3 linked regions of the Diceros bicornis minor genome follow. The protein of the gene in region 1 interacts with the protein of each later gene in a pairwise test. Links are inferred from orthologs where the notes say so. Each region holds a gene or a part of one and is shown in the gene's direction. Other genes may lie near its edges. The genes, in order: NIF3L1, NATD1 and CDKN2C.

Evidence for each region.
Region 2: the proteins of NIF3L1 (region 1) and NATD1 interact in binary tests that used the Homo sapiens proteins (3 or more experiments, as listed by UniProt). The two-hybrid records come from large-scale screens. The link is inferred for Diceros bicornis minor from reciprocal best matches to the Homo sapiens genes NIF3L1 and NATD1.
Region 3: the proteins of NIF3L1 (region 1) and CDKN2C interact in binary tests that used the Homo sapiens proteins (3 or more experiments, as listed by UniProt). The two-hybrid records come from large-scale screens. The link is inferred for Diceros bicornis minor from reciprocal best matches to the Homo sapiens genes NIF3L1 and CDKN2C.

Annotation. Positions count from the first base shown.
Region 1 is NC_080749.1:78,812,551-78,816,294, forward strand, and holds the start of NIF3L1 (NIF3-like protein 1), read left to right. Parts: upstream 1-1,501; 5' UTR 1,502-1,722; coding exon 1,723-1,727; intron 1,728-3,375; coding exon 3,376-3,744. Other genes in the region: PPIL3 (peptidyl-prolyl cis-trans isomerase-like 3), read right to left, coding at 427-429. UniProt on the Homo sapiens protein: May function as a transcriptional corepressor through its interaction with COPS2, negatively regulating the expression of genes involved in neuronal differentiation.
Region 2 is NC_080757.1:232,381-236,124, forward strand, and holds the start of NATD1 (protein NATD1), read left to right. Parts: upstream 1-1,375; 5' UTR 1,376-1,413; coding exon 1,414-1,510; intron 1,511-3,744.
Region 3 is NC_080752.1:13,411,501-13,415,244, forward strand, and holds the start of CDKN2C (cyclin-dependent kinase 4 inhibitor C), read left to right. Parts: upstream 1-763; 5' UTR 764-1,982; intron 1,983-2,435; 5' UTR 2,436-2,446; coding exon 2,447-2,575; intron 2,576-3,744. UniProt on the Homo sapiens protein: Interacts strongly with CDK6, weakly with CDK4. Inhibits cell growth and proliferation with a correlated dependence on endogenous retinoblastoma protein RB.

The DNA of each region.
Region 1 (3,744 bases):
AAGTGAAAATAAAAAATTTAAAAGTAATTTTGCTTATTTCTGTTTTGCTTAGAATCATTTTACACTGTATGCTTCTACAGCTTATCATTTTTCCATCTTGCCATTGAAATTTCCATGCAGTTTTATTTCCCTTGGCTGACCTTCTAAAAATTACTTATACTGAAAGACATTCATAAGAATTCCATAAAACTGGGCCGGCCCAGTGGCTTAGTGGTTGGGTGCGCGTGCTCTGCTGCTGGCGGCCCGGGGTGGGATCCCGGGTGCGCACCGATGCACCGCTTCTCCGGCCATGCTGAGGCCGCGTCCCATATGCAGCAACTAGACGGATGTGCCGCTATGACATACAACTATCTACTGGGGCTTTGGGGAGAAAAAAATAAATAAAAAATCTTTAAAAAAAAAAAAAAAGAATTCCATAAAACTTACCATTTTTCTTCTTGATGGTTTCAGGAAGCACTGTTATGTAATTTTTCAGTCTTATCGAGAGAAGTTCGAAAATGAGTCTCTATTCCCAAAAGAAAAAAAATTAAGTTCACCTTCTCTGAACTCACACATGCTCATCTTGACTGCATATTTAAAAGAAAAAGTCTTGAGAGCACCCCCCAAGTAATAAAAATACGGCTATGCAAGTGATGAGGAGCTCCTACCAGACTCAAGCCCCTCAATCGCCTACTTCTGCTCACTCTCCTTCAGGATCCTCCTGCAATCCCCGACAAGCCAGGGACATCCCCGCCCTGGGGTCTGCGCGCTGGGCGTCCCCGCCGCCCGGAACGCTGCCGCTCGAACACCTCTACGGCTGCCTTCCTCACCGCCAAGCCTGCCCAAGAGTCAGGTCTCCCTGGCCCGACAACTCGATTCAAAACTGCCTCCACCCTAGTTCCTGCCCTGTGTCCTTTTCCCACAGCACTTACACTAATACAACACACGCTCGATTAAGTCTGTCCTTTCAACAACGCCTCCCCGCCCAGAATGCTCACTCAAGCAGCCCAAGAACTCACACACACAGCGCTCAGCACGGGTCTGAATAAGCGAATGAAAGAATGAGCGACGTTACCGCGTACTTACTTAACCACTTCGGTTAGCACAGTTGTTAAAAACTTAAAACGACGCCCGCACGGGTCTGTAGACTCGAAATTAGTTTCTTCGGGTCACCGGAAGTCGAGTACGGGACCCACTAGAGAGAACGCCGCTCACCTGCTCGCCTCCTTCTCCCTCCCCGCTCCTCCTTATCTCAAAACAAAAGGACTAGACCTAGAGAGACAATGTCATTTATCCGCACCTGGAACACTTTCGACAGTGAAAGGGAACTCTTCTAATAATTACATGAGGACAAGAACCGTAACCTGGAACTATTCTGGGCAACCTTCAGAAGCGTCGTGGGCTCAGACGTAAAACGGGAAGAGCACTTCCGGCCGCTTGTCCCTCAGTTTATTCCCACACGCCAGGAGGTTCCGCGCGGGACCGGACGTGACGCACGAGAAGCGCGCCCGGGGCCGGTGAGTCGGGTGATCTTGGTTCCCGCGTGGGTGTCCGAGGCCGTCGAGGCCGGCGCGATTCATGCGGGCTGTGGCTGTCAGAGAGGTGCTGCAGCGGAGACGGGGGCGGAAAACTGGCTCCCCGCGCGGGAGCGCAGGGCACCTGTGGGGCAGCGGCCCTGCCTCGGGCTTACCTGTGCCACCGGGGCTCTTCGTTGTCCTGGAAGAGGCCTGAAGGGGGACTGAAATGAGGTAGATGAGGGGAGAGGGTGCAGTTTGCAGGCTGTAAAAGGGGCCCCACTAATGTTACTTAACGTTAACAGTCAGTGCTGGCTCTAGGCCAGGCATTGTTTCCGGCTGCCCGGATACTCTCGCGACAGCGCCGTGGGCTGGGTACTCTCCATCCTTCAGCGGCGGAAACCGCCGAGGTTAAGTGATGAGTTGCGCAGCTGTGGCCTTGGGAGGCAGTCTGGTTTTGGAGTCGGTGCTCTTACCCACCATGCTATGCCGCCTCCCGTTGTTGTTAATTGTGGCTTCAAGCTGCGCCGCGTCCCAGTTTCCTAATCTGTGAAGTGGTGCGTGTTCTCTTCTTGCTAGGGGCTCTTTCGGGTAGGACAGTAGATAACTCAGATTCTCTAGTGGGCGTGGCGGCCCACTAGAGCCTCACTTTGGCGCTTGCCATATTTAGAAGAGTCTGGAGAGTGGAGTAGTGTCAGGACGGGGAATCTGGAGAGTGGAAGTGGTATAAGGACCATTAGAAGACCTCTCAAGACCCCAGGCTCGAGTGGGTTTGGAGGCTCCACGTCACAAATCATATATTGAATAAGTACATCTCGTATTAACTATTTTGGCTGTAGAACTGTTGGAAAAAATTTGCTTTTGAAATCATTGGGCTATGAGTATTTCATTAAATTTACAATTGGCTGTGCTGTCTTGCTAATTATTGTGCATACTGTGAAATGCTTTTCTTCAAAAACAGAAATCTTCATGGATACTAAATGGGAGAGTGGTGTTGACAGTGCTGTCTTTTGGATTGGATGTAGATGTCTGAAAGGCTTGCAGACCATGTGGGCAAAGTGCCCTACACCGCTGCCTCTCCCACCTCTTGAGCCTGGCCTTCCTGTAACGGTTGGTTCCGGGGCAGCAGCCTTGCTGCCCATTGGTGACATGACCCACCTATGCATCCCGTGACTCTGGCTGCTGATAAAGCACTTAACTTTTGAAAAATATTTTATTGTTTTTTTGGTAAAACATTTTTTAATGGCAATATATACCACCCTAACTCCAAATTCTGCTGAGGTGGGGGAGGGGGAGTGTCAGTCTGTTTAGCAAGCGTTTAGTGCTGGCCTGTGTTGCTGACACTGAGATGTATAAAAGCTAGTTCCTGTTCTCTGGTAGCTTTAGCAGACTGGGGGAGACAGAGGAGCAGAAATATAACATTCTGAGAATACCAGGGCAGAGGGCAGTGAGGTGGGGAGCCACTGAAAAGGAAGGTTTGTCAAGAAAAGCTTTATTTAGGAAGTTGAGGGGGACTTGGAAAGAAGGGTAGTATTTAAAGAAATGGAGAAGAGAGGAGGGTAGTTGAAGCAAGGGTGGGGCTGGGGAGGAGGGAATGAACACTTGTGTGTTATGTACCAGGTTTGTGCTAGGTGACTTACACATATTAATCCATTTGCTCCGCTGATGGCCTGTGAGGTTATGGTGTCTCCCTTTTGTAGATGAGAAAACAAGCTCAGAGAGATTAAATGACTTAGCTAAGATTCCACCTGCTAGTAAGTGGCAGAGCCAGTATTTGAACCCATGTATGTGTGACTACAGCGCTTTTGCCTGTATGCTTTGCTGCCTCAAAGGTCCGGGCCTAAGGTGTACAGGTGTACCACTGTCTGTGTTTTGACTCCAGATACTCAGCTTTACCTGATTCCTGTATGTTGTCATCTTGTGTACGCCTGGTCCCCACGGCAGTTCGGCTGGTCGGTTCCCTGGTCTGCAGTTCTTCCCGTTCCTTCATGGATTTGAAGGCTCTCCTTTCCTCCTTGAATGACTTTGCATCCCTATCATTTGCTGAGAGTTGGGACAATGTTGGATTACTGGTGGAACCAAGCCCACCACACACTGTAAACACACTCCTCCTGACCAATGACTTGACCGAGGAAGTGATGGAGGAGGCGCTGCAGAAGAAGGCAGATCTCATTCTCTCTTACCACCCACCTATCTTCAGACCCCTGAAGCGCGTGACCTGGAAAACCTGGAAGGAGCGCCTGGTGATCCG
Region 2 (3,744 bases), on another chromosome or scaffold:
AGACCGACATCACCGAACTTGCCACTCAACGGGGTCGGCCACAGTGCTGAGTGTAAAACGGGACAACCACTCTGGAAGAAGACCTGGCAACATCTCATAAAACTCAAGGTACAGCTACTGAGACCCCACAATCCACTCCTGGGCCGCCCAAGAGGGGTCTATGCTACAGACCCCAACAGAGTGCTCCAGATGGTCCACGGCAGGCAAACCCAGACACAGCCCAAAGGCCCATCCACAGGTGGTAGATACATCGACCCTGGTGTAAGCACACGACAAGACTATTCAGTGATGACAAAGAAGCAACGACACGGATGAATCTCACAGGTGAAGTGTTGACCAGAAGAAACGGCACACTAAAGTACATACTATACGATTCTGTTTACACGGAGTTCTAGAAAAAGCGAGTTAGGCAATGATGCTAGAAGTCCAGGAGAGTGGTTACCTCCAGGGGTGGGGCACTGCCTGGAAGAGGCTGAGGGAAGCACACATGTCCCCTATCTTGATTTGGGTGATCCTCACACGGCAGTGAATGTTGAGCTTACACCTTCATTAACAAACCAGGGAAAAGTAAGCTACAGTCATGTGATTCCATGGGGGTGGGGGTGCTGGTCAAGTCTCCTTTCAGAAAACAGGTTTGGGCTCCCGAAAGCCCTGTGTGTCCTCAAGCAAGTCCCTGGCCCTCTTGGGACTTGATTTCCCCATCTGTGGAGTGGATCCAGGGATCTGCAAGGCCTCTTCCTGCACTTCGGCCTCTTTTGGAAGTGGTGGCATTCACCCCCAACCCAGACGGCTCCTCGGGGACCCCCTCCTCAGCAGCCTCAGCTGCGCACGGTGGGATCCGCAGCCCCATCCTCCCAGGGCCCCACCGTGTGTGCCCTCACGAACATCTCTGCCTGCCCGGGGCCTTTCTTTCCTCATCCGTAAAGCAGAGTTGGGCATGCCTGTTTCTCGGGCTGGTGAGGAGAATCTTCGCTGAGCGCAGGGGGGCCTCCATGAGCCCCTCCTGTGGCTCTCCAGGGCTTTGCCGTGCAGAGGCCATACACACAGCAAGCGCTCAATCAATGGTGGCCGCGAAGGGATGATTAGAATTTCACTACAGGTCGTGACATCTTGAGAACGTGTCCGTGTGGGGGCCCCAAAGTCGCCCGTGGGTCAAATGCAAGAGGACGCAGCGGCCCGGGCGCCGGCGCAGGGAGTGTTCTGTTCGGAGCCGCGAGGCGCGGCCCCTTTAAGAGCGGACGGGCTGTCCCCACGGAGGCGCGGCCCCTTTAAGAGCGGACGGGATGTGTCCCCACGGGGCGGCACGTGACCGCACAGCTGGCTTCCGGCCCCGCCTCGTGTTGTCGCCGCCGCCGGGGGTCGGTCCGCGCCGCCGCCCGCGGTCTCGGGCCCCCGCCCGCCCGAGGGGTCGCGATGGCGCAGCCGGGGGGCGCCGGGCCGCCGGAGCAGGGCTGCCCCGTCCGCGTGGAGCACGACCGGCGGCGCCGCCAGTTCTCCGTCCGCCTCAACGGTAACCGCCCGGCCTTTGTCCGCGCCGGGGGCTCGGGCGGGGGCCCGGGAGGCGGCGGCGGGGGGGCGCGCCGGCCCCCGCGCGAGCCCCCGCGCCTGCCCGCCCCGCGTGCCCCCCCGCCGCGGGGTGGACGCGGCGGGGGCTGAGACCCCGGGGGGCGGCCAGCCTGACCCCGCTGCCCTCGCGGCTGCTACCCGGCTGCTCGCCGCCCCTGGGAACCTGGGGTCTCTGCACGGAGGGGCTGGGGGAGACCCCCGGGCAGCCCTGGGGCTGCTGGAGAGAGGGGCTGCCGGTGTGGAGGGACTGGCGTCGCGTCACACCCCGCGGCCGAGGCTGCGGCCAAGTCGTGTCCTCCCCGCGAGCCCCAGCGCCTCCACCCTAGTCTGCGAAGCCCCCCATCCCCGGTGCAGACCGCCTGGCTGCTTGTGCGGGTGCCTGCGGAGATCAGAGTGGAGACTTAGAACAGCGCCCGCCGCGCTTGTCAGCGCAGATAAACATGCACTGGTCGTTATTTTCGAAACCAGCAAGCCAAGTCAAGACGTTTCCTGTAAAGGAAGGTTCTGCCGCCTACTAGCCCATGCCTCCTCACCCTAAGAGGTCTGGGGCATAGAAAACAGAGTTATACAATGGAGGCCCGTGAATTCCCCGTATCCCACACCTTCTGCATTAATGACTTTCTTCTCACCCATCTGGGCCCCCTGTGGCAGGTCCAGGCGGCAAGAGCCCTCAGAGGCCACTGTGCCCATTTCTGAGAAGGGAAGGCAGGGGCCCAGGAAAAGGAGAGGCTTGCTGAGGCCAGGCAGTGAGCCGGGGCAGAGCTGGGGTAGGGGCCGGCGGCTCTGACTCCTGGATCTGGGCTCCTGGGACCTGCACTTGGACACAAGCAGGAGGGCTGGGGCCCAGGGCAAGGACATTTCTCAGAGCCCTGTCTGCGCTGTGCTGGGCATTGGGCTGGGCCTCAGCACGTCCCTATTACAACATCCTTGTGGTGTGGGCATCAGCCCCCCACGTGACAAGTGAGTAAACTGAGGCTTGCACCACAGGGAAGAAGTGATTTGCCGTATCATGAAGTGCCAGAGCTAGAACTCAAGCAAGTCCTTCTGCCACCATGGTGTGGGCCGTGGCCCAGCTGGCCGTGACACTAAGGGCGCTGGCCACTCTTGTGGGGAGGGGCCTCGTGGATTTTCAAATCCTCTCTTCTCAGGTTCCAAAGAGGCTCTGGTTCCCATGGGGGTTCAGGAGGCCCTATACACTCACCGAGACAGAAGAAAAAGGGAATGTTTGGAGTTTTCTTGCTTTCTCTTCCAAATGGCTAGAGCCAAAGGACACCCCTCTAGAATTGACTGTGGTCGGGGCTAGACGTGCCAGCCATATTCCTAAACTTGTCCCCTTCCAGAACCTACTGCCCAGATGGCTAACTAGAAAGTGGACCGGGGATCCCCAGCCAAGCCCAGGGAGCAGCGCGAGGCCACCAGCTCCTCCCCAGCCGGCAAGGCAGGGACTGTGTGGCCTAGGCTGGGCCCAGTCCGAGTGTGTATGTTGCGGGGCAGGAGAGGGCCCGTCTGTGTCTGGGCCCCACTCTGCCTCAGCTGGGGAGGGGAACAGCCTGTGAGAGTGTCTCCTGAACTGCAGGGTTAGCCCTGGGGGCCGGCTCATGGTGTCCACTGAGAAATGAACACTGAGGCAGAGGGGAGAAGTGGCCCTAGGGCTCCTGGTGCAGACGTGTGCCCGGCCCTCCCATGGCAGAGCGAGGCTGGTGAGCGCCCGGTAGCAGTGAGGGGAGGCGTCGGAGCAGCTGCATTCACTGAGTCCCTGTCGTGTCCCAGGCAGGCACCCTGCACAGAGAGGCACTTACTGTATCCTCATGGTGTTGCCGGGGGGAAGGGAACTGCCCCTCCAGTGTTACAGATGGGGAGACTGAGGCACGGAGATGTGACTGACACACGCAGGGCCCCGCGCCTCGCAGGCGGGAGAGCTGGGATTCACTCCACAGTCCTTGCCGAGCACCCGCTGTGTGCCAAGCATTGTTCTCGGTGCTGGGGACTCATGGGATGACAGTCTGGAGGGGCGGTGACAATGAATAGAGTGTAAAGGGTCCTAGGAGACAAGGGCCTGGCAAGAAATAGAGCAGGGCAGGCGGAGAGCATGTCGGGAAAGGGCTGCTGTTGAGAGTCAGGTGTCCAGGAGGGCCGCCCTGGGAAGGTGGCATTTAAGTGAAGACCTGAAGGAGACGA
Region 3 (3,744 bases), on another chromosome or scaffold:
ACAGTTTGGAGTCTCTGGAACATTAAGGCTTCAGAGTTCGTCATGATTTCTTACGTAAATCATCTCTCTAGTTTTCGTAAAAATCGGTCTATAAAAGACTTCTGCTTTTTCTGAGCACCATTCTTGCTCAGTCCGGGTCTCGCCCTCCAGCCCCACGGCCACCTCTGCCCACCGCGGCCCTGGACGTTGATCTGGCAGGTGCGAGGCCGAGGCCCGGGGCTGAGAGAAGGAGGCCGAGCGTACACAGCGCGCGCCCCACAGGAGGCGGCAGCAGCGTAGGCCTGGCCGCCCGAACTTGGAGAGCCTAGCGGGGGAGCGCGGAGGCGGGCCGGCCTGCCCCGCCAGCGCCGGGGGAAGATCGCTTTGCGCCAGCTCGCTCTCCGCCTTCAAGCAGCCAGCGCCGCCGAGCCTCTAAGGCCCTGCGGTTCTCCGCAGCCGTCTTAATTAACAAGTCTCTTCCCCTCACCCCCGCCCCCGCCGGGCCCGGGGCAGCCCGGGGTTTCGCGTCGCAGATTCCATCCCGCCCGCCAGCCCGAGGAGGCCAAACCCGGCTCTGCGGGGCCGAACGCCGCCCCAGCTGGGGCCTGGCCGCGGGGCTGGCGGGTGGGAACCGGCGCAAGAGACGCGAGGAGGGAGGCAGGGAGCGGGGAGGCGGGAGAAAGGGTGCGGGGCGGGGGGCGGGGCGCGCGAGGCGGCGAGCGAGAGCGCCACCAGGGCGGAGGGCGGGGCGTGGGCGGCGCCCGGCCTTCCCGCTCCCGCGGCGCTGCAACTCCGCCGAGCCTCCTTAAAACTCTGCCGTTAAAATGGGGGCGGGTTTTTCAACTCAAAAAGCGCTCAATTTTTTTCTTTTCAAAAAAAGCTGATGAGGTCGGAAAAAAGGGAGAAGAAACCGGCACCGTCTCTGCAGCGGCAACAGAAGCAGCAATTGTTTGAGCGTAAAAAGAAGCAAGGGAGGGAGGGAAGGAAAAGAGCAGAAAGGGGGACGACGCGCAAGTGTCTGTAGGGTTGAAGGGAGCAGGGACCGGCGATTTGGGGGGACCGGCTACAAAAGAAACTGTCACTGGGAGCGCTGCGGCTCGGGAGGAAGCAGTGCTGCCCCGCTCGGCTCCAGGGCACAGCTGGCTGGCGGCCGCTGCCCTGTCGGCGGCGTAGGCTGGGGGCACAGGCCAGGGGACCGCGAGAGGTTGGCGAAGTGGCACCGGGCGCCGAAGCCCCTGGGCTCTCTGCGAGAGGGCAGCGGGACTGGCTGCGCCCTGGGATTGTGGCGACTCCCCATACTGAGAGGTTGGCCTGCGCTTCCCAGGACCCTCCCGATCTCCGGAGGCCCTCAGAAAACCGGGAAAGGAAGGAAAAGACAGCGGCGGCAGCTCAATGAGCGTCTACAGTAGGAAGTCTGAACTGGCTCGGTCGTAGGCGGGAAGTTACCGGTGGGCTGCCCTGTGCAGCCGCGATGCTGCCGCGCGCTGCCGCAGCAGCCCGGGCCCCGTAGACGCTTCCCGCATCGCTCTCCCCTTCCTCACGCTGCTGGGAGTCCCGGGACCCGGTGGGGCCGGCATGACCGGCTTGCCGGGGGCCCGCCGCGCGCCCGGCTGTCTCCGGAGACGCGCGCCGAGCCTGGCTCCCACGGCCTCCGAGGCTCGGCGGGGCTGCGGCAGCGCGGCGGGCGGGCTCCGGAGCCTTCCCGCGCGGCGTTAGCCCTCGGCTCGGCCCGGACGCGAATAAAGCCTCCTCCGGAGAAGCCGAGGCCACTGAGGAGTCGTTACAACCTGTAACTTGAGGGCCACGGAACTGCTACTCTCGTTTGCCTTTGGCGATCGTCTTTAACCCTCCGAAGCACGTCAGCATCCAGCCTTTGCGGCGCTCTCCCTGCAGCGGAGGACTCAGGACTACCCCTTCGGCGAGACGGATGGACACCGAGCCCCTCCGAGGACCTGCCCCTGCAGTTCTGGCTGTCGCGGCTCAAGTCACCACCGTGAACAAGGGTGGGTTAATACCTTTTCTTCCCCCCAACTGTCTTTTCTTCCGCGGTATTTTATGCCGTGATCTAGTCCCTTAAGTCTCCGCGCACATTCCTCACAGAGGTCTGTAGCGTAGGTACGTGACAGCTCTGCCTACATTTTACCCAGAGTAATTTACCAGGAATATATGTGTGTCTGTGTGTCTCTCTGTTGAATCACCAGAATTCTTCATAGGGGTTAAGCTAAAAAGCGAGGAGCGGAGCCCCTCTCCAATGGCTCAGTTTTGCTGAATAATCACGTGTGAATCGAGGGGCGGGCTTTTGGCAGGCAGATCTTACTAGTATTTACTACCAAGCTCTACTCCAGATTAACCATCCCAGTCGTTCTGTCAGTCTCCGATGCCATCATGCAGCCTGGTTAGGAGCAAAGGAAAGGGGAAAAAGAAAAACAACTAATTCATCTTTTCCCGATCGTCAGGACCCTAAAGAATGGCCGAGCCTTGGGGGAACGAGTTGGCGTCCGCAGCTGCCAGGGGGGACCTAGAGCAACTTACTAGTTTGTTGCAAAATAATGTAAACGTCAATGCACAAAATGGATTTGGAAGGACTGCGCTGCAGGTTGGTATCCAGCGAGGTGGGGAAAACAGGTCAACAATGTTGCCTACGTGACCCGGGTTTCTAGAATAACAGCTTTTAAGCTTTCAAGGGTACAAAATTTCACTGTTTTTAAATCTAGTTGGTTGCCATATTTTATATCTTTAAGTGGGTCCAACTCCCTAAAATGACGTACTTTGAACAAACTCGTCAAATCCAGTAACATCCTCGATATCAAGTGGGTTCCAGGTTTGGTCTTAATTTTTGGAATGTTTTTGTGACGGTGGGGATGTTCAAGTAGTCGTAGTAGAGCCGAGTTTTTTGGGTTTTTTTTTTTTTAGACAGCTCTGTAAACACATTATTATGATTATTATTTGAAGTAAATACACTGCTATTAGTGGTTTCCGTACTTTGCTCCAATAATTGACTTTAACGTTAATTTTCTTGACTACTGGCGAGGGTGTTTTTCCTTCAAATGCTTCAAGTTTTGACAAACGACCTTTCCTCGTTTGGAATGGGTGGCCTGGGCACGGGGACAGGATGTACATTTCACAGTTAATGTAATACCATCCACCCATTCAGGATTGAGGAGGAATAAAAAGTTGAATTTTCTAATCGGAGCTCAGCTTGTAGTGTTTTTGTCTCTGCGGTCATGCCGTGGTATGTTCTAATTTTCAGTAATTAGATTTACAAGAAACAAATGAAACATGTCCAGCTGCCAAGTATTATACCTGATAATATTTTTTCCTCCTCTGAATGCTATGATGTAACTTAGTTGAAAGGCATAGAAACAGAAAAATGGCAAAGTAGTCTCAAATAGTTGCTTTATCAGAGTTCTGATGATATTCTTATGAGCTATTCTTATTCGGAAATGCAACACTTGAAACTGTTTTTGAAAATCCATTGGGGAAAGGGTTTTTAGAGTGCTTTGTTTTAGTTACAAGAATTAGAAATTTAAGTGTCAGAAGATATACTATTAACAGATGAAGTCTATACAGTCTGTACATTTTAAAATCAGAATACACCAACCTTGCAAAAGCTTCAGTATTAAGGGAGCTTATGCATAGATACTAAATTATTTATCTTGTTATTTCAGGTAGATTAAGTGGGGAAAGGAATTTTTTTCTTTTTCGACCTGGTGGTTTACCGGTGATGATAGCAATGCCACCAATTAAATATATTGAAAATTTTCC